2 linked regions of the Nothobranchius furzeri genome follow. The protein of the gene in region 2 interacts with the protein of the main gene of each other region in a biochemical or structural test. Links are inferred from orthologs where the notes say so. Each region holds a gene or a part of one and is shown on either strand. Other genes may lie near its edges. The genes, in order: frizzled-7-A and dvl1a.

Region 1 (11,026 bases), on a different chromosome or scaffold from region 2:
ATGCAGCCTACAGACTGCATGTAACAACTGCTGCCGCTAGAGGTCAGCACCACACTAGACTGTATAACTGACTCCCTGAAAGTCTCTGCAGTTCTCTCAACATGAGTTTTTTAACACATTGTTTGGTGAAGGGCCGTGTATCCTGTAGCTTTAATCATTTGTATCTCATTTTAGTGGTAGCAGTGTTTTTCATGAATATAAGATTTAGTGAGCATTGGAATAAAGTGACTCTTAGGATTCAGTTTTATATTTCTAGATTATGGACTCATTATTTTGGGGAATAGTGTATCATCCAAGCTCTTTACATATTTAAAATGACTAGCGTCTTAGGGTTTATAGTACTTTGCTTTATTTTCATTTTATTTTGAGGTGTTTTTTTTTTGTACTTTAAGGAATAACTCACTTATAGATGCCAGACGAGTCAGTTTTAGAAATGTATAATGAAAGCTGAGAATGCAGACAAGCTTTCGCACCAGCATCCTGCCAAGACACTAGATGATATTTTTGTTTTTTATGTGCTCCATCTTTAAAAGTTTTGCTGCACTTTGAGGATTTCATGCTAAGAGACATAACTTGTAAATGGCCTGTATTTGTAGTGCCTTCTACAGTCCTGGAACCGCCCAAGGCACTTTACAACAGTCCTTCTCACACTGGTGGGGAAGAGCTACGATGTAGCCACAGCTGCCCTGGGGCACACGGACGGAGGCGAGGCTGCTGACCACCACCAGCGGGCAAGGCGGGTTACATCTCTTGCCCAAGGATACACTGACAGAGACAAACTGAGCGGGACTCGAACCTGCATCCTCCCGATTACGGAGCGAGCACTTAACTCCTGTGCAACCATCACCCCATAATAATGAAGTTGAGCGTAAGCTTGAGGCAGCATCTTTACGCTGGGCAACTTCTCGTTTATTTTACACTAAACACCACAGATGTTGACCAAATACTCCCACGCCAAGGTTCGCTTGCACCAGGACTGTTTTGTCAACAGCTGATTCTAAACTGAACGTATCCGACCACAAACGACAGTCGTCAACACATTAAAAACTTTATCACTTTTATTCAAACTGTACACATACAATGGGTTTATCTCATTTTTAAAAAATACAAGTAAAAAAGACAACAACAAAAAAATGAGTATCCCCATAAATACAATATGCTTTAGAAAATTAGAGTCTGTTTACTCGCTGGTTTGCATATGTTCTGGTACCAAACACCAGTTTTCCTTCTGAAAACAGAACAATACAAACAAGTCAGTCTGGTATTATCGACACCGGCAGACCTCAGCTGCACAAAGACGCCAACAGAATCACTGTAAAACCGTAACGACTGGATGTAAAGAAGTTTTCACCTGCTTTCTAACTCAATTACTTGAGCAGAATGTAACTAGAGCTTGAGGTATGTAGTACATCCAAAAAAGAAATTATTTACAAACTGCTTTCAAATGCAGAATGAAAACTGGTATAAAGTATGCACATTTTTAAAATTAACGCATCTAGATCCAGGGGAGCTTTAGACATTAAAATAACGATAAAACCAACTCTGTAGATGGTCACAACGCCGTGAGGTGTCCCGCGTCGCTGCAGAGTACTTCCATTCCTTATTTTTAAGTGAAGCATGCAACAAAATGTGCTTTTTGACAAGAAACAGAAGGTTCTGGCAGGCATACGCAGCTGACTCAGCTTCCCCACAAAACTCCAGATTTCATTTAGTCAAAGAAGTGAAGTCACATATTTCTAATGTCCACTGAACAGCAGGAAACGCAGACTCCTAATAATTGTGGCCTAGCTTTATTAGTCTTGAGAATATGTTATTATTGCTGACCACTAGTACTCAACCAAGGCCTTTCAACGTTCGTTTAGTACATAACCAACTGTTTACCTGTTGGAGATGCCTCTGTCCTTTGTGATATCTCTACATTGCATTGTCCAGATTAAAATTTCCCAACGTGGCTGTGACCTTTGACCTCCACCATGATATTTCTCTAACACAGAACTTCAAATCATTAAAAAAGACCAGAGGCAGAGAAAATGCATGCAGTTTCTGTGTTTAAGGCCTCTGTAAAGAAGCCTAGAAGCTACAATAATAATAATTCAATAAAAACTGTAAAATGTTCAGTCTGCTTGTAAAGACACTTCATGTGTGATGAAAAAAGGTGAGACGATTACCGTGAGACAACAGGTATGAGCTGTATAGTCAGAATAAAACACCGTATGAGCTCCAGAACAAACACGGATTAAATCTGGATCGCTGAAATTGTGTTTTTGGCGACTTACACGCTTAAAAATGTCTTTTAAACAGGCAACCGAACTGTAGAGGGACCACACACAGGGGCCAACAATGAGCCGTTGTGTCTTAAGGTTGTGCATGTGTGTGTGTGTGTGTGTGTGGTCTCCTCGAAACGAAAGATCCAGGTCAATCTGCGGGGTAACAGACTTTTTCTATACACTTGGAATAACTGTGCAAACTTGAACGTAACTTCATTCATCTTCGGAGTGAACATTCAGAACAGGAGAAAATATTCATCAGTCTGGAACATTAAAAACAAAAGATTTCCTTTAAAACTGCTTTCTGGGTAGCCACTTGGCACGTAGACAAATTCATGAGTGAGTGAATTATTCCAACTATTAAAAATGATGAGATTGTACTCTGCGTTTAAAGCTTTCCATTCTCCAGCTAAAAGCAGAGTAGCTTACGTGTAGTCGAGGCAACGATTCCCTGGAAGCGGATGTGGCTGTGGCTGGAAATAAACCTTTGACCTTCTCGCTGCAGTTAAGACGCACTGCTTGACACGTCAATCTTTTCAGCTAGTGCGCTAAGACACTCAGAAGTGGACGGGGAATACATTCAAATTGTAATATAAGAATATATATATATGTGGATATAAGGATACAGTCCTAGCGTGGCCGATCGTGGTCCAAAAAGTACAAATGTTATGGGGTTTCTGATGACGAAAATAAAAACAGAGAAAGGAATATACCAGAAGTTTTCCCAACTTCCTTAAAATTTGGATGAGTTTTGTCGTGAACTGTTACCACAACCTGGAAACGTGAAGATTCAAATAAAAACAACCAAAAGTGTTGAAATGAAAGCTATTTGACCTCATTTTCATGGAACTGTATCCAAAAATCAGTGGCCTAATAATCCAAACTTCACACTGTGGTCTCTCCATGGTTGCCATTACTGAGACGCTTGTAAAATCTCCGCCAAGATTGAAGAGTCTTTCCAGACCAGACCCAGAACCCGGAGGTCATCCCAACTATCAGGGTCATCAGATATTTGATCATGAACACGGTGAAGTCTGGGGTCATGGGGGCGAAGTTGTGAACTGGACAGGGTACTGCAAATCGCTTACAGGTCTGCATGTGCCAGGTGCGCTCCCAGTGCTCCCTAAAGGCCTGCTCGTAGAAGTAACAGGCGATCACGATGGTGGCCGGCACAGTGTAGAGCACGCTGAACACTCCAATCCGCACCATCAGCTTCTCCAGTTTCTCCGTCTTGGTGCCGTCGTGCTTCATGATGGTGCGGATCCGAAACAGGGACACAAAGCCGGCCAGGAGGAAGGACGTGCCGATGAATAGGTAGACAAAAAGCGGGGCCAGAACAAACCCACGGAGGGCGTCCACGTTGAAGATCCCCACAAAGCACACCCCAGTCAAGACGTCTCCGTCCACCTGGCCCATGGCGAGGATGGTGATGGTTTTGATGGCTGGGACCGCCCATGCTGCCAGGTGGAAGTACTGAGAGTTGGCTTCTATTGCTTCATGACCCCATTTCATCCCAGCAGAGAGGAACCAAGTCAGGGACAAAATCACCCACCAGATGGAGCTGGCCATTCCAAAGAAGTAAAGCACCATGAATAGGATTGTGCAGCCCTCCTTCTTGGTTCCTTGAGCCACAGTCCTGTAGCCATCAGCCTTAAATTTATCCACACAGACAACTTTGTCCTCCAGGAAAAACCCTGCCGCGTAGGCAAGAGCCACCATAAAATAACAGCCAGACAGAAAGATGATGGGCCGCTCCGGGTATCTGAACCGTCTCATGTCCACCAGATACGTGAGTACCGTGAACAAGGTGCTCACACAGCACAGGATGGACCAGATCCCAACCCACAGACGACCGAATTTTACCTCATCCTCCCGGAAATACATGATCCCGCTTGGTTTAGTGGGCTCGCACGGGGCCCCGCAGTCTTTGACCCCCATAAATCTGTAGCCCAGGTAGGGAGGCACCTCCAGCTGCAGGGGACAGGAGAACTGGTGGTAAGGGCTGTGTTGAGGCGGACGATGAATGGTCGGTCGGTCCCCTATGGGTGGAAGGGTGACGGGCTCGGGTGGGAAAGGAGGTGAGGAGACCGGGCTGGGCTCGGATGTGTTCTGGCCCACGCAGATCTCACCGGCTCCGTGCACGGGGAAAGCCTCGCAGCGGAGCCGCTCCGGCCACTGGAAGCCGAATTTATTCATCAGGGCTTCACACCCTTGCCGTGCACGCTCACACAACGACCGACACGGGGGGATGGCCTGTTCCAGCACCGTGCAAACTGGGGCATACATGGAGCACAGGAAGAATTTCAGATCCGCAGAACACTGCACCTTAACCAGGGGGTAGAACTGGTGCACCTCGAGCCCAGCATCCTCCTGGTTCGTGTGGCCCAAGAGATTCGGCATGATGGTCTGGTTGTAGGCGATGTCGGTGCAAAGCGGGATGGAGATGGGTTGGCAAAATCCGTGCTCCGGAACGGATATTCCACTTTCACTGTTGTAATGTTGAGCAGAAGTCAGTGAGAAAGCCAGCCCCCACATCAGCCACACGCACCGCAGCAACACGGAGCCAGTGGTGAGCCTGGCCGCCGCCATGGTTGAAGAGGAGGGGGGAGGGAAAGAAAAACTTTGATCCGAGTGGCGAGACTTAAAAACGGTTCAAAACGGCAAACAGCTGCAACAATTGTCCAAAATGTTGACTCGCGGTTCAGAAAATCAGAGTTAAAATGTCCCGGACCAACTTTCCCTCGTTTTTCATGCAGTTAAATCAAAGAAAATCGTCCGTCGTGTCATGACTTCTTAATGTTCTTTGTAAGTGACTCCAAGCAGTCCACTCTCTCCTCGTCCGGGAAAACAACACTTCGACTCCCGTTTTCCACGAACTAAAGGGTCATGAGCGCTCTACGTGCTAGAGCCGCGCAGCGGTACAAAATCAAACCACAAACGGCCTAAATTTTCCTGCGTTTTCGGCTAAACTTCACGCCGAGTGTCGGCTCACATGATGGGCGTCAGAAGTCCAGAGGCTCCGCTCTTCTCTCTCCGTGCGCATTCCGCCGGTTTCAAGGCACCCGTTCCATTCACCGGACCCCCTCCCATCCACCTGAGCACGGGGTGCCTTAAAACCAACAACATCGTCTCAGCCAATCAGAGCGTTTGTTTTCCTACAGGACTCGCTCCTGATTGGTCTTTACTTCCCCACCATGGGAATATATGCTACAGTAATTACATTACACGAGAGATTTCTCTAAATCAATTTAGTTTTCCGGTGAGATGAATGTATGTTCGTTTTTTATCAATTATTCAAAAGTATTTAAAATAAATAGTATTTAAATACTTCACTTCTCAAGTGGCTAACATTGAATACCATAAATACATTTGTGCCAGAAAATATTCCAATAAATATTTCATGGCCATACGTGGAAATATAAGTTACTTATTACATTATAACAGCAAGTGTTATATATTACTGTAGGTCAGTAGTACTGTAAGTAATAGTAAAACATAATTCATATCATAAAGTCAAAGTACACATCTTGATGAATAATAATTTTATGAATTGTAAATAACTGCAACTTGTGTGTGTTGTCGTCTAATTTTAGCAAAGCACAACTTATATCAAGATAGATAGATAGATAGATAGATAGATAGATAGATAGATGGATAGATAGATAGATAGATAGATAGATAGATAGATAGATAGATAGATAGATAGATAGATAGATAGATAGATAGATAGATAGATAGATAGATAGATAGATGATAGATAGATAGATAGATAGATAGATAGATAGATAGATAGATAGATAGATAGATAGATAGATGATAGATAGATAGATAGATAGATAGATAGATAGATAGATAGATAGATGATATATAGATAGATAGATAGATAGATAGATAGATAGATAGATAGATAGATAGATAGATAGATAGATAGATAGATAGATAGATGATAGATAGATAGATAGATAGATAGATAGATAGATAGATAGATAGATAGATAGATAGATAGATAGATAGATATGTCTACAGTCAGCATCAATAATAATAACTGTAATAATGATATAAAATAACACAGCTTGACATTCATGGAAGACTATTTTTGTAACAGCATGGCGATTCCCAAACAAGGTGATTTCAAAGGAGCTGGAAATTTCCCATTAACTGAAGGCTAATGCATCTTTCAGGCCCTATCTCAGGACCTTTTTTTTCTTATATCTGTTTAAGATACTGCTCGTCTGTCTTAAATGGTTAGTTTTCCACGCCGACTACCATTCCCTTTATCCTCCATTTCACTGTTTCCTGAAACATTTTAGGTGCATGTTTTAAGTCTCAAATAAGCTCTTCTCTTTGTTCTTGAATGATGACTTAAGATAAATAGAGCTGAGAAGAAGAAGAAGAAGAAGAAGAAGAAGAAGAAGAAGAAGAAGAAAATATCATTTCTATAGCGCCTCTCAAGATAAAAATCATGAGGCTCTTCACAAAAACAAAAAATGTAAAAAATATAAAAAAGCATTTAGAAAATGTTTAAAAATATATTTAAAATGAGCAAAAATAGACAATTCTGGTTAAAAAAAATGTTAAGAAAGGGAGAGATTGAACAGGAAAGAGGGAAATCAGTGGATCCTGAGGAAGGTGGAATAGGTGGGGAGAGCAGAATAAAGAGAGAGAGGTGAAGAAGGTCATACAAAAGCCAGCTTGAACAAGTGAGTCTTCAGCTGCTTTTTGAAGGAGACCACTGAGTCCACTGTTCTCAGGCTCAGGGGGAGAGAGTTCCAGAGTCTGGGGGCCACAGCAGCAAATGATCTGTCACCTTTGACCTTTAGCCTGGTGCTGCACAACCAGTAGGCTTTGATCACTGGACCTCAGGGACCTGCTGGGGGTGTGGGGACTAAGAAGATCTCCAATGTAAGATGGTGCTTGTCCATGTAAGGCCCTATAGACCAGAACCAGGATCTTGAAATGAACCCTGAAGTTGACTGGCAGCCAGTGAAGCTGGAGGAGAAACGGGGTGATGTGATGTGGGAGAACAAGTGAAAGCAAAAGACCTTCAAGAATCACAAGTTCCTGAGAAGGAACTTAAAGAAATGGCACATACTAACAACAGTTCTCAACATTCATTTGACTTTTTCATTTCTTCTTAAAATAAGCTTCAGCTTCACATTCACGGCTAGTTTTCTGCAATTGAACAGTTAAGTCTAGACTTCTCAAATGTGCTCCTGTGAAGCTGAATTCCTTCCAACTCCAGGAGTTGTTGCACAGAGCCTCTCACTGTGTGTAGGACTTATAAACACCACAGCACAGTGAGTAAACCGTGAAAAAATGAGAGAAACCCAAACGAATTCAGCATCTGAAACGATGAACAAGCACTTCTACATGTTTCGTTGCAAACAAATAAAACGGGACTCCTTAACCATTTGTGGGAACTGAGTACAACAGCCAAAGCAGCTGTAATTTAGGGTGGCAGCGTGATCAATCAGACCAAAGGCGTCCCAGTGTGGGAGGGGTGGATGGTGGCCTTTCTGCATTTGGTGTTTTCTGCCCTGAGTGGGATAAAAAGAGAGTGGGGGTGGGATGCCATGGGGGAAGGGACAGGAAGAAGGGAAAAGGTCACAGAGGGCAGGGGGAGTAGGAAGAAGAAGCAGGAGGAGAGGTTCAACCAAAAGGAGAGGTCTGAACGGTTTTCTGTGGTTTGGATAACAAAGAAATGGTGAATAACTAAACACACCGACAGATTAAAACTCCCCCAACGCAACAAAACTCAGTATTTCTGTTATATTAATTACATTTAACTCAATTTTAAAGCTGTGGGTCACTGGAAAAACAGTTTTTAATTATCATTTCTGATTATAATCAGTCACTTTGAGTTTTTCATGCACTCTGAACATGAAAAACGTCTCCTACACCTTCCTCCGGCTTTAGCTCCCAATAGAAAATAGACGGTGAAACTCTAGGATGTGAAAAGCCTGACATATCTACATCACACTGTCACTTAACATTCATGGACTCACCCAACTTGACTCGCGACGTTGGTTTGGCATCCAGGAAAGAGCAGAGAACGTCTTGACTAGTAGAAGCTAACCGTTAGCATTAGCAAATCCACCACACGGCAGAACAAGCTTGTATTATTTGTGGAGATAAAATATCAGTGTTGCAGAGCAAACCGAGTCAGTTTTAGAGTCATGTTGCTGTTAACCAATCAGCGGCTAGATGTCCAAATTTCAAAAAATAAGACTCCAAATCCTGCCGTCTAAAGCTCAGCTCTGATGTGGCTCACTTCTAGTTCCTAAAACATAGTGCACCGGAGCTTTGTTTCCCCTGAGTATAACTTACAAGGTGATTACTCCTAGACCGACTGCAAATGTATTGGTTAAACGAGTGAACCACACCTTTAAGTTTCTGAAAGGTTTAATTCCAAAATGTTTCCTCAGCAGACAGTTGTCTTGGATCAATCAAGAGCTGCTCATGAGTGGAATCTGAGCCAAATAAAATGATTTGTTTTTGTCTTTATTTTTGCAAAAATGTCTGCAAATTGCATCACAGCCTAACAAACACATCTTACATCTTTGGCTCTTTTCTACAAGGCAAGTCATTTCACGCCAAAGCAATTTCTGATTAAATTCACACATTGATTGAAAAATAAAACATCCCATCTCATTTGTGCAAACAGCAGTTTAAACTGGAGCCAAATGTTTTTGGTTTAGAACCGCGTGATGCTAAATGATGACAGCTGAATTTTACAACAGCTGAAGATCATTTGAATCTGTTCTGTGGTGATTTATTTGAGTTCTGTAGTGAATTACATCAAACCAGCCTGACGAAGTAATTTATGCAATAGGTGCCGATTCACATCATTCATAAAAAAGCATGTGAACGGACTTTTGGGAAAGTGTTGCAGCATTGCAAGGCTTTGTCAGTGGTGTAAACCCAGCTGTCAGTAGCTGCAGTGGGTCAATTGGGACACGCTTCATCATGTGGAGCTGGAGCTGTTTGTTTGTGGATGGTGTCTGCAGTGGTCAAGCAGCTGGAGGCCGTTCAGCGGGCTTCCAGACAGTCGCTGTTTGTACTGCAGTCTGCTGGAGAAAGAAACAAAACAAAGGGGGTTAAACAAACAAGTAAACTTACAGCGAAGCACGATGAGATCTACACAGTCACCGATTTTGATGGTTTGGACCAAGTTCGCTCCATTCGAGCGTAACCACCATGTGAAGTATTTGAGCTACCATGTGAAACCCAAGACTGAACAACTATTTAAATGTTGAGCTGAGGTGGAAAAACACAGTTTAGTTTGGTTTGGGGAGATTTTCAGCTTAGGGCATGTTGGCTGACCAAGCTGGTCTAACCAGAATGTCAAGAATTTCTGACAATTACATTTATTAATGGTTTTTAGGTGCAAAATGTGTGTTTAGAAAGCCCAGAGATTCACAGAAACATCAGAATTGAAAGAAACCACTAAATTAGTATTTCATTGTTTTATTTATTGTAGTGCACATTTATTGCTGTCATATTTGAATGTTGTGGAACACTAAAAAACATTTTTAAAATCTTATTTCTGATAATAATCAGTCACTCTGAGTTTTCCATGCAGGCTGAACATGAAAAAAGTCTCCTACACCTACCTCCTGCATTAGCTTCTGATAAAAAACTCTGGGACTAGAAAATCCTGACAGATCTACGTCACACTGTCGCTTAACATTAATGGACTCACCCATCTTGTCTTGTGACGGGGAAGGCTAGCCTAGTGAACTAGACCAAATTCTTGCTTTGCAAATAATACATTTATTTAGTCTGGCTTGCCAGGCTGGGGGAAGGCTGCAGCTGTTTTTTGTGCTGTGTTGATAAAATTGAAAATCGATTCTTATTAAAATTCCAAGAATCAAACTGAATCGATTCATAAGTCCAAAAATCAATTTAATTGTTTTACAAAGTTTGCCCTGTTTACAGCTAAACTTGGAAGGAAAAGTTCAGGTGGCCGTTTTAACGTTTAGGTCCAAAAGAATAATACATCCCCCGGTCAACTGTAACTCACCCAGTGTCGCATCATTGAATTACGGCCATAGAATTAAGGTAACAGCTCAAAAAATGTTTCAATAACACTAAACCATACCAGTATCAAACTGGAACAGATAGAATTGGACTGGACCGTGATACGCTGGTGAAGGTCATGGTGATCCAAGAGGGTTCAAATGAAAGCAACTGGACTTCTTTGGGTTTTTGAAGAGATGTTAAAGGCTCATCGGGGTTAGAGAGGAGGGTTATTCACAATAGTTTCTGCTCATTAAACAACAGTAGATAGCTACAGCTTGTAAGCTTGACTTTCCCGTATTTCAGTCAGAATTGACGAAGCTCCTCGGGTGAGGAGCGAAACATCTTCAAGAAACCAAAGAAGTCCAGATGCCTTCTGTGAACCCTTTTGGATTTGATCGCGATAATCGATTCCAGGGTTTCCCCCAGAAAATGGGTTAAGCCTGGCGGATTCGGCCGTTGGGGGGGGGGTGTCTGTCCCGCAGCGCTCCTCCGTGAGAGCAGGGGTGGGGGGTGGGGGGTGGGGGGGGTTTGCACACGTTCTCACCAGTATCAGCTGATGGAGGGCTCTAGTTTCGTTGCGCTGCTCGTGTCAGCGCTTATAAAGTGCTGCGGGAAACCCTGGATTCTAACCCTAGAGAATCAGAACCTAATCGATTCTCGAAATTTGGATCAATACCCAGCTCTAGTTGTTTTGGCGTCCAGAAATTAGCAGAGAACGTCTCCGCCAGTAAAAGCTA
Region 2 (11,041 bases):
ATGTGGTCGACTGGCTTTACTCCAGAGTAGAAGGCTTCAAAGATCGACGAGATGCAAGAAAGTATGCGAGCAGTTTGCTGAAACATGGCTACCTGAGGCACACAGTCAACAAAATCACCTTCTCTGAACAGTGCTACTACACGTTTGGAGACCTCTGCCAAAGTACGGGCAGGTTTTCCAAAACCCCAATGGTTCCAGTCAGTGTCTCACAGGGATGTGACTGTTGGAGACCAATCTGTGCTCACAAATAACTCCACATGTTGGTCAAAGGTTTTAGAATTTCTCTCAAGAGTCTCAGAGTTTAAAACACGATCAAAAACGAGCCCAGCAAACTTTTTCTTGAAATAATCGCAGAGTTTTGCAGGCATCTGAAACCCGTGGGAATCTTCTCACTTTAGTTTCCACGACTCAGAAAGTGGCTGGTGATTAAATTGCAGCAAACTTGTTTGAACAAACTGAGACTTAATTAGGTTTCCAGGAAAACTGCGATTCGTTTGCAACTACAACTAGGGTTGTCACGGTGTGAGAATTTAACCTCACGGTTATTGTGACCAAAATTACCACGGTTTTCGGTATTATCGCGGTATTTTTTTAAACGTGCTACATTTTCACACAATTAAATAAACCCTGTATATCAGGAAATATTGTCCTCAGTTTGTGTCTAAATTTAGCCTAAAATGTGTTATTTTGTAATTATGTTGTTTATTTGTTTACATTTTTCCCCTTTAGTCTTTAAAATACCAATATTTGCCCATAACTTCTTACTTTTTGTCTGTTTGATGTCATCATTTTAAAAATATTAGATCAGGTGATACTCAGTACTCAAGTAGCCTTCTAATCAGATACTTTTTTACCCTTACTTGAGTAATAAACCCTATATCAGGAAAATATTGTCCTCAGTTTGTGTCCTTCCAGTGAGCTTTGCAGATGTGGGAAAATGTCATCAGGCAGTAATCGTTGTTAAATTCATAATTATTCTCGGAGAGAGACCAACTCTTATCTGCCCCTGGGAGCCCCGTAATGCATAGCGTCATTTCAACATGGCGGTGTCCGCGACACGGTTTATATGCAGGTAGCGGCGCTGCGGCTGCTTTATATAGCCACTCGTTGCTTTCTCCCTCAACCCAAATCCTCGGATCACGCATTTTAGCTAAAACGCTAACGTTAGCTTGCCTTGCGTTGACTGTAGAGTTGTGGGTGATGGTCACGCAGATGTGTCATGAGATTTGAAGCGTTGCTGCCTTTCACAGACACTTTTTCTGCACGTGCTGCAAACAGGATAGCCATCTTCTATCAGCTGTCCCTCGGCATTCTTCAGATATCCAAAAGATGCCCGTACTTCCCACTTTGTCTTCTTTGAGGGATAATAAATGTCCGGAGCGCTGCCGTCTCCTCCTTTGGCCATTATTTCAGCTTTAGCTTCAAGAAAGTTTTGGCTATAAACAACAAAGTGCACATGTGCTGCCAGCAACTTCAGCAGACGATACGGTGGCTGGTAAGGGTCACCGCGCCTACACCGCAGCCACGGTAATCCACCGAGATTTTTTATTTTTTTAAAACAAGACGATTATTATTATTGTCAACTTTTTTACCGGGGTTTACCGCTACACCGGTTACCATGACAACCCTAACTACAACACATGGTCGTTTTCAGGGATCTAACAGGTGCTTGAAATGTATAGAAATGAATTTAAATGTGGTGAAAGTGAATAAGTTATTACTGAATGTGCTGAAAAATCCTGAAAACTTGCCTGAGAATGCTTGACGAAAGCTTGAGTTTACTTAGTCGTTAGGTGTGGAACGTGCACACTTGGTCTGATTCACACAGTCTTGTGTCTCCAGCTGGTCTCCAACAGTCACAGCCCAGTGCAGTGCTGGCCTCCACCTCTCACACTGGTTGTGTCTGGAGTGAGAACTGTTCTCTGTCTTGTCTAGACATGGCGTCACTCAATTTAAACGAGGGATCCAGTGGCGGAGGATCTGAGCAGGACACTTTGGCACCTCTACCTCCCACCGCCAACCCCTGGCCTCTGGGGGGACAGCCGTTCCCCTACCCTCCTTTTCCCTCGGCACCCCCGAGCTTCCCGCCAGGCTACTCCGACCCGTGCCACAGTTTTCACAGCGGCAGCGCAGGCAGCCAGCACAGTGAGGGTGAGCACTAAAACCTCATATCTCTGACGTCTGTATTAACAACTGTCTGACTAATGTTAGCTCCTCTGGCTCTCTGAGCCGCTGCCTTCCCCCTAGTTACGTTTGTGTGTTTCTAAACCGCGTCCTGTGTTGTCAAGGTCAATCATGAGCATCATGGGTCACGCAGCGGACAGCTCTGCAGTACTGGGTGTGTACACACACACACAAAAATAAACCCGATCAGCCGTGTGATTCCAAATCATCAGTGATTCCATCCTTCTCTATCAGCCCGTCAATCATCTGCTTTCATTTTGGATCAAAATGTGATGCTGCTGCATGATTTTAATGGTCTGCATTGAAGGAGGAGGGTGTGCACATGCCTCAAGCTATGAATATAGCACTTGAGGCAAAATAATTCAGAATTACCACTTCAGCATCTTTGCTGTCCTGTCCTGATATGGTCACATGTTGCTTTCACCTTCTTTATTTTGATTTTCTGCAAATAAATAAAATCATTTCAGTTTATTTATATATCATAACACGAAACATTTCTAACATTCCAGTTGAACCTACTGTACATTATGTTCACTTCATATGCCAACTTTACAGTGATCTCCATGCTAAGCAAGCTTGTAGCGACAGTAGAGGGGAAAACTCCCTTTGAACACAACCTGGCAGCCGTCTGCCACGACTCACTGGGGGATGATTGAAAAATGCTTAGAGGTAGGGCTGCTCAATTAATCAAATTTTAATCACGATTACGATCTGAGTTTTGAACGATTATAAAAACAAAACAAGCCGATTATTTGCTCCTCCCACTTGCGCTGCCCTGAGTTGCAAATGAAGCGCTCCTCCCACAGTGTTGCCAACTTAGCGACTTTGACGCTATTTCTAGCAGCTTTTCAGACCCCCTTCTTGACTTTTCAAATCTTAAAAGTACCTAGTGAACACCTCAGAAACATCTCTGGTAACCCTTAGCTACTTTCTGGATAACTGTCGTCGACATTTCCTGCAGGTTAGCTAAACACTCCGCCTGTGCTCCGGACCGTTCATCAGGACATTAGGAAAGGGAATGATGCAGTGATGTGTCGGTCGCTAAAGAAACGGCTCTCAGAGCCGGCTCCTTGTTGGAGTAACCAGAGTGAGTGACACACACCGTACCTGCGGACTCCTGAGCCGCTAAAAACTGCTAAATGTGCGCGTGTGGCGCGCTAAACACACATGCAGCTTGCCCCGATTGCTGTGAGACCGGGGTTGGGGGGTGGGGGGGTGCAGCTGTGGTTGGGACAGTTATTACATTAACTGATGGACTTGTAAATAATTATTTATAAATAAGGTAGAAATAAGTTCCTCACGCTGATAAATAATAACTAATCTCTATGAGGACACGGTGCTAGTGCACTCTCCTACAGCACCTTGACACGACTCAATAAATGTTATGCAACATTTTGTGAACATAAATTTATTTGTTATAAATGCTACTGTATAATTCTTGCTGTCAGTATTTGCAAGATATTGGTATTTGGGTCTGTACTGGTTAGACTTACGTGAGTTAAACCAAGGTCTACAGCCTTTGGGTCATAAACTATGAGCTGTAAGTATACTGGTCTTTTTACACAGGAGTTATTTTAGTGATCATCTTGTTTCTTATTTTTGTCCTGATTGTGCCCTGAGCAATTTTATGAATGAATAAAAACAAATAAAATCAACATAAATTGAAAAATCGTCCTAAATGATCGTGATCCCAATTTCAGTCACCATAATCGTGATTATTATTTTTGCCATGATCGAGCAGCCCTACTTAGAGGTTTAGTTTGTTTTGGTGCTCCTAAACTTAAAGGGATATTTTAGCAAACGGTTTTCATTGTAAAAATGATAAATATTTATATTGTAGATCGCTTCCTGAACAGCCTTGTTCGAGAAAGAAAGAGTACATATTACAGGACTGACTAGCTAGTGGCTAATGTGAAAGAAGCTAAAAACAACGTTTATTATTTAACTTAAAACAGCTCCAGTCTTAAAAAAAAGTCCTTATTTTTGCACCACCACCACACGTTGTTTCACAAGGACGTTTGTGGTGGTTTAAAACCGTAAATATCAGGAGTAGCTTCATGTAGCCGTGCATCCAGGGGTCGAGTCCCGTGGACGTTTAAATGTAGCGGCTGTGTGTGACGGGTAACACGTCTCAGTACAGACAGAAGGACCGGGAGCCTGTTCAGGAACGAGGGGCTGCGACCTGGATGGGAGAGAGGGCGTTTCAGCTCCAGCAGCCTCCTGCTGCCCATGGGCACGGAGGAAAGCAACCCGCAGCAAGCAGCGCAGCAGTGTGCTGTTGTTGGCTAAACCAGCAGCGATGACTGTGATCAGGAGGAGATTGTTGTCACGTGTGTGTGAACGGCTGTGAAATTCACAAGCTTGGAGGTTGGAGATGCACTTTGGCCGAGGCTGCTAGGGCCGTCGAACATGAACCATTTCTTCAAACTGAGGTTTTGATGGAAGCCTTCTGCAACTTAGAGGTGACTCACAATGCCCCCCCCCCCCAAACTGCTAAAAATGCCCTAAGACTCCTGCTTGTTTCATTGTGTGCATGTGTTTGTTTAAATTGTTGTAGTCAGAAGAATAAAGCAGGACCGCTCGTGTTAGTCTGAAGGCATCGGAGCAGGTGTAGTGCCGTGTGTTGGTCAGCGTGGGCTGGGAGGTGTGTGTAATCCTATTGTTCCCTCTTGTTTCTGCTGGGCAACGTTAGACTGAAGGAGGAGGTAGTCCCGGGACTCTGGGGGAACCGGTAAGCCTGCTAACCCCCATCCTCCTCTTCTGCTGCTCTCTGTTTCCATCCAGTCTTTATTCTATCCCTCCTCTCTCTCTCTCCTGTCCTCAGCATCCTCCACCTATCATACTGCAGCTTTAATCCCCCCCCCCCGCCTCATGATTCCTCCGTCCATGTGTATCCCGTGTGTGACTCTCCTGACAGTCGATGCTTTCCCTCCGCACCTCTGGGCATGCGTTTGAACTGTACTGGGAGGTGCATGAAGCAGGATGACGAGTCTCAGGCTTGTGCTGGGACGGGACAGCCATGCACCACTCTGCCCAGTACTGCAGACGTGGAGGAGGTGGTTTAGCAGAAGCATGGTACACCTCCATCAGTCTGGGAATTATCAGCTGTTAAATCAGATTTGATGTGAACCACGACGCACCTGAGACAAAGTTCAGATGAGTGGCATGTCGCTGATGCTGGTGTACCACTGATCCTGATTATCCGTGAATGTGGTGGTGTTTGTAAAACGTCAGATCAGCTCATGATTAGTGGCAGTGGGTGAAACCTTTAGGATAATCATTTCTGCCCTCGACGCTCTCTGGAGCACTTGGGGAAGTGTCTGGTCACACCTTAAACAAAGTGCTTCCACGTGTTTCATCGGTGCGTTAAACTGTATGTTGGAGTTTTTACACCAGGACGTGTTCGTGTGGTGTGTCGCAGCGGTTGTTTAACGTGTGACCTCGTTTCTCTGCACTAGCTGGTCTTGAGTCACGTGTGTCCGATGAGTGGCTCTCGCCGCCTTTTCTGGGGTGTTGTGCGAATGCCACAAAAGATTTTCCTAAAGTGTTCCCTGTTGTGTTGTTGTTTTTTTTCCTCAGGAAGCCGAAGCAGTGGATCCAACTCCAGCGCAGGCAAGGACAGACGCTCTCCGCAGGAGAGGTGTCAGAGGACAGCATGCAGCGAACCAGAGCCCGGTGTTCGTGGAGGGAGGCGCGGTGACCGGTCCGCCAGCCAGATGAGCCACCACAGCCACGCCCTCTCCAGCCACAGCCACGCCAGGTCGAGTCTCAGTCACAGGAGCCCCTCTTTCTCTCAGAACAATCACCCCCCCTTCACCTATAGCCACGCCCCCTTCGCCCAGCCAAGCCCAGGCTCCTGCGCACAGAGCGAGCGGAGCCACGCCTCCTCCTACGGCCCCCCAGGCCTGCCTCCCCCTTACTGTCTGGCTCGTCTGGCTCCCAAAACCTCTGTCAGCAGCAGCACCCCCCCTGGGGCCCCCCCTGGGAGAGAGTTAGCAGCCGTTCCTCCTGAGCTCACCGCCAGCCGCCAGTCGTTCCAGCACGCCATGGGCAACCCCTGTGAGTTCTTTGTGGACATCATGTGACAGGACAGTGCCTTTAAAACAGAGAGCACAAACCCCCCCCTCCTCTTAGCTTCCTGCTGTCTGATGTCCACAGGAAGTACCTGCTGTGTTAGCACAAACAGCGACGTCGCCACTCCCAAAGCACAGGTGCTCTGCTGAGGAAACCAAGCGACTCTTTCCTGTTGACGTGTACAGTCTGTGAAACGTGAGTGGTGTTCAGTGCGGTGACGTCTTTAAAGCTGCCATGCGGACATTCTGGGGAGGTTTTTCTCTACCTGGGATGTTTTCTGTTCTGCGGGACCTTTAACGTGGCTGGGGCTGGATCTCAATCCTCCAGACCTGGGTTGTGTGCCGACTCATCAAACTCTTGTTTCTGTTGCCAGCAGGTGGTCTGAGCTCTCCCCGTTCAGCCTGAGCGGGTCCTGGCCCGGCTGTCAGCCAACGGCTGCTCAGTGCGTGACCGTCTTAACTGCTTTAAATAAATTTAATGAATTAATTTTGTTTTAAAGTATTGTCGGCTCCAGAGGGTGAATGCGTACACTGGATGGCGTTGTGGTGTTATTTATGTGTTCATGTTGCGTTGATTTGGTTTGCCTTCAGCAGCTCACTGACAGACAATCAGACACCACACTCTGTGAGGCCGGGGCCGCTCTCCACTGACGTAGCTGTGCTGCGGTGACGGCACCGTTGCTGCGGACGTTCGCCTGCTCGCGTGCCGATCACCAGTACCTGCTGTGAGTCAGTGAGAAAAGCCAAAGGCTCACATGGTGTGGTGGGTATTTCTTAATGTCTGAGCGGTTTCTGATGCCAATCTTTTATTTTTCATTTACTCGTTTTAATTTTGTGATCATCACATCTCTACCAGTTTAAACCGACTTCGAGGGGAATCCCGACCGACAATAACAATGGCAACCCCGATTTATTCACTTAATCACACACACACACACACACACTTGTTTTATGAGCACTTATGTTTTTGTCTCCCTCCTTTTAGAATGAAACACTGTTTGCAATCAAAGCTTTCTTTAATTTTGTTTCGCAGCAAAAAAGGAATAAATTGTACATAGAAAATTATATATGAATTAAAAATATATATGTTCAAAGATGTTTAATTGGTGCTTTTTTTAATACCTAAAATTACCAACTACAGTCATTCATACAGATTTAGATTTTATATATGAACCAAATGTTTGTTCTTCCATCACACACCGCTGGTTTTCAAACCAGGGGTCGGGGCCCGATTTTGGGTCATGCAACACAAGGCGTGGGGTCTGGAGCAGATCTACACGGGACTAAATAACTCCCCAGTGGCGCATTTACACTCAGGTCCTTAAATATTGGGACATGGACACTGCTAACATTTTTTGGCTCTATGCACCACAATGGATATCAAATGAAATGAACAAGATGTGCTTTAACTGCAGACTGTCAGCTTTTATTTGAGGGTGTTTACATCCAAATCAGGTGAACGGTGTAGGAATACAACAGTTTGCACATGTGCCTCCCACTTGTTAAGGGACCAAAAGTAACGGTACAATTGGCTTCTCAGCTGTTCCATGGCCAGGTGGGAGTTATTCCCTCATTATTATTATTATTATTATAATAAAAGCTGACAGTCTGCAGTTAAAGCACATCTTGTTCGTTTCATCTGAGCGCTTATGTTTTTGCCTCCCTCCTCGTTTCACTAGAAACAGGCTCGACTCATCTTTTTAGCTTAGCTTTTAACTGAATACTATCACTTTTTAATTAATGAATTTAATTATTTAGGTTATTTATTTATCTAATCATTATTTATTTAATGTATTCTTTCTTTATACGTGCTTTTTAAACAGTTTTTTACCTTGATTTATGATCAACATTTTAATATCTATACAACTTTTGAGATTAAAATTCTCATTTTAGCTCTTTTGATTTTACATTTTAATCTTAATTTAACCTTTTTCCAGTGCTTCCTCTGTGGGAGCCCTCTGCCCCGGGAGCGGTGGTCAGCTGTGGCAGCCTCGGTGCTTTCCAGGTGTGCCTAGGTGGAGGTGGGGGTCTCTGCCCTCCCTGCCCTGGGCGCCCTGTGTCAGTGCCTCGGCTGCTGCTGTGGATCTGCTGCTGTCGGGGCGGATGGCTCCCCTGATGGTGTTTCCTTATCCTTATCTTAGCTGGTCTGGCTCATCTGATCTCAGTCAATCGTGTTTTTTACCATGGGGAAGGGGGCATGTGTGTGCCGGAGGATGAGTGTTGTGAAGGGTTTTTATTGTCAGACTGTTTTTAAAATTTTGGGGATGGGAGGGAATGCAGGGCCTTTTTAATCTGTTAAGCACTTTGAGTTGCATGTATTGTACGATTAAGTGCAATATAAATAAAAGTTGATTGATATCCATTGTGGGGGTGCATGGAGCCAAAAACGTTAGCATTGTGTCGATGTCCTAATATTTATGGACCTGACTGTAGCATAACTGTTGGGAAAAGCTAAACACGGAAGTCATAAGCTTACTTTTTAAACTAACAGTTGGATGTGTTCACGCTTCACCACGCAGGGTCACAAAGCCGAGTTTTATCATGTAGATCCAAAACTTAAACGTTTGTCAGTTTGAGCTGACGGAAGAAAAACTTCAATAAAATGTGTTAATTTAAAAAAAAAGTTGAAATGTTTGCATAAAAGGTTGGTCTTTACTAACAAATACTCCATTCATGCTTTTATTTATTTAAATAAAACTTGTTGCTTCAAATGAATACAAATGCAAAGAGGACTTTTGTAGGTTTTAACACTAAATGTTAATTGTTTGGGATTTTTTTTATTAACTAGAAAAAGCTTTATGAAAATGTAAAAGTCTTGTGGGAACTCTAACGTATGCGTGTCTTTCGTAAACCAGTAAGGATTAAACGGACCTGTGGGCCGTTTGAAGGTAAAAACCTAGATTCACCACTAGGTGGAGACATTCTGCTCTAATAGATCTAAACTGTTTAATAGGAACAACTGTAAATAAGAGCATTGGTTTTGGACAGATGGGATTAAATCATTGGAGTGATTTTAAATGAAATAAATGTTTTAATTAGTAGTTTTTTTTAGTCTGATCAGCTGATGTGAAGAAGCCGGTGATGCTCTTTAGACGGTGATGTGTCGGTGTGTCATCAACATCTTATTTACTGTACAGCTACCACCTCTGTGTGGAACTTCCAAACACCGGCTCGGCTGCGTGTACTTTCCTAGTGGGCAGATGTTTCAGATCACTTTACATCACACACACACACACACACACACAGACCCCCAGTCTGCTGACCCACCAACCACACACACACACAGATGTGTGAATGAGATGCTGCGCTCCCACACATGACGGGGGCTGGCAGGAAGGAAGTGATGTCAGAGATGCACTTCACCAACACAAGCAACTCCAGATCAGTCAGTTTGTGTTTTAGAACATGATCACATAAAATATTCTGTTTCTAAAAGTTGCAGTCTGACTCTGGCTGAACTTCATGTCAGCCTACATGCAGACACACACACACACACACACACACACACACACACACTTTTACCAGCAGGCTGCATATGACGGCGGTCTGGCTTACCGAGCAGCAACGAGCGTTTCCCAGAGCCAGTATGGTAATCCAGCTGCTGGGAGTTTACATTGCCTCACAGCTGCATGTCTGGGGGGTGGGGGGGTTGAGGGTGAAGGGTAAGTGTGGGAGGTAGCGGAGTGTGCGTTTGCAGAGGTGCTGACTTTTGACACCAATGTCTGCTGTAATAGGTTGTGAGTTAGGCGGACCGCTGCTCAGAGCTGTGTGCTAAATGTCATCTGATCATGAGGCATCATGAACGTGATACACAGCAGCAAAGCGCTTACTCACTGATGCTTCTGCTGTGTGAGCGGTGAGCTTATTGTGCTGAGTCACCTGTGATGCCATCACAACAACAAAATTCCCAAATGGGAAGCAGTTCCCTTTTCAGAGAAATTAAACAACAGCGTCGGTGTGTGGCATGATAAGGCGCAGGTTCCCCTTGAAACGCGGTTTATTTTCAGTTTTGTTATCTTCGAGGAGTTTCGCTCTTGGTGGATTGAAAGTACTTCCCTAAAAAAACAACAACAACAAACCTGTGTTGGTTTGTTATTGTTGTTTTTATTATTTAAATGGCCTCCACCGTAGGTTTGTGTCACAAAGGTAAAATGTGTTTAACTGGTTTCTAAACTTTAAACTGAATCAAAAGGGTTAAAGGGTCTGAAACTTAAAGCTAAAGGACCCCATGAACAAGTGGGGACATGCTCGGTGCAGTAACCCCCCCCCCCCCCCATGCACCATCATGTTGACATTTCATGGTGTTGGCTCTGAGTTACCAGCTCTGATCATCAGATTGCATCAGATAAAAACCATCCAGCTGAACTCCAGATAACTTTTACCCTAAGCTGACCTTTCCCCGAAGAGTTAAACGAGCTGAGCCAACTCATCAAGTCCTCAACCGTAATTCGAACCACCTTCCTGGGAGGGGTTCTGAACGAGACAAAATCCAAAACCGTCTGACTTAAAATTTGGTATGGGAGGAAAATGTAGATTTATCTGCAGTCTGTAACATTTATTAATACTTTTGATCTAAAATTTCCATTTTAAAACATCACATTCTTGAACAGATGCTGTAAACTTTACATTTACTTGTTTAAACGCTGATTTTAAGGTTATTTGTGAAGCGAGAACGGCTCCTGGCTCCAGGGAAAAGGACAAAAGACACCCGTTTCCTCCCTTCGACCCACCTGGGACAGGTAATGGAGAGATACACAACACAGCTGAACCCAGATGAGTCTGGT

Evidence for each region.
Region 1: the proteins of dvl1a (region 2) and frizzled-7-A form a complex in vitro, tested with the Homo sapiens proteins (2 studies listed by BioGRID and IntAct, with this or other methods). The link is inferred for Nothobranchius furzeri from reciprocal best matches to the Homo sapiens genes DVL1 and FZD7.

What each region holds. Positions count from the first base shown.
Region 1 is NC_091754.1:11,118,045-11,129,070, reverse strand, and holds frizzled-7-A, read right to left. Parts: upstream 5,090-11,026; 5' UTR 4,857-5,089; coding exon 3,153-4,856; 3' UTR 2,936-3,152; downstream 1-2,935. UniProt on the Homo sapiens protein: Receptor for Wnt proteins.
Region 2 is NC_091755.1:40,817,765-40,828,805, forward strand, and holds the end of dvl1a (segment polarity protein dishevelled homolog DVL-1), read left to right. Parts: coding exon 1-162; intron 163-1,935; coding exon 1,936-2,151; intron 2,152-5,763; coding exon 5,764-6,269; 3' UTR 6,270-6,301; downstream 6,302-11,041. UniProt on the Homo sapiens protein: Participates in Wnt signaling by binding to the cytoplasmic C-terminus of frizzled family members and transducing the Wnt signal to down-stream effectors. Plays a role both in canonical and non-canonical Wnt signaling.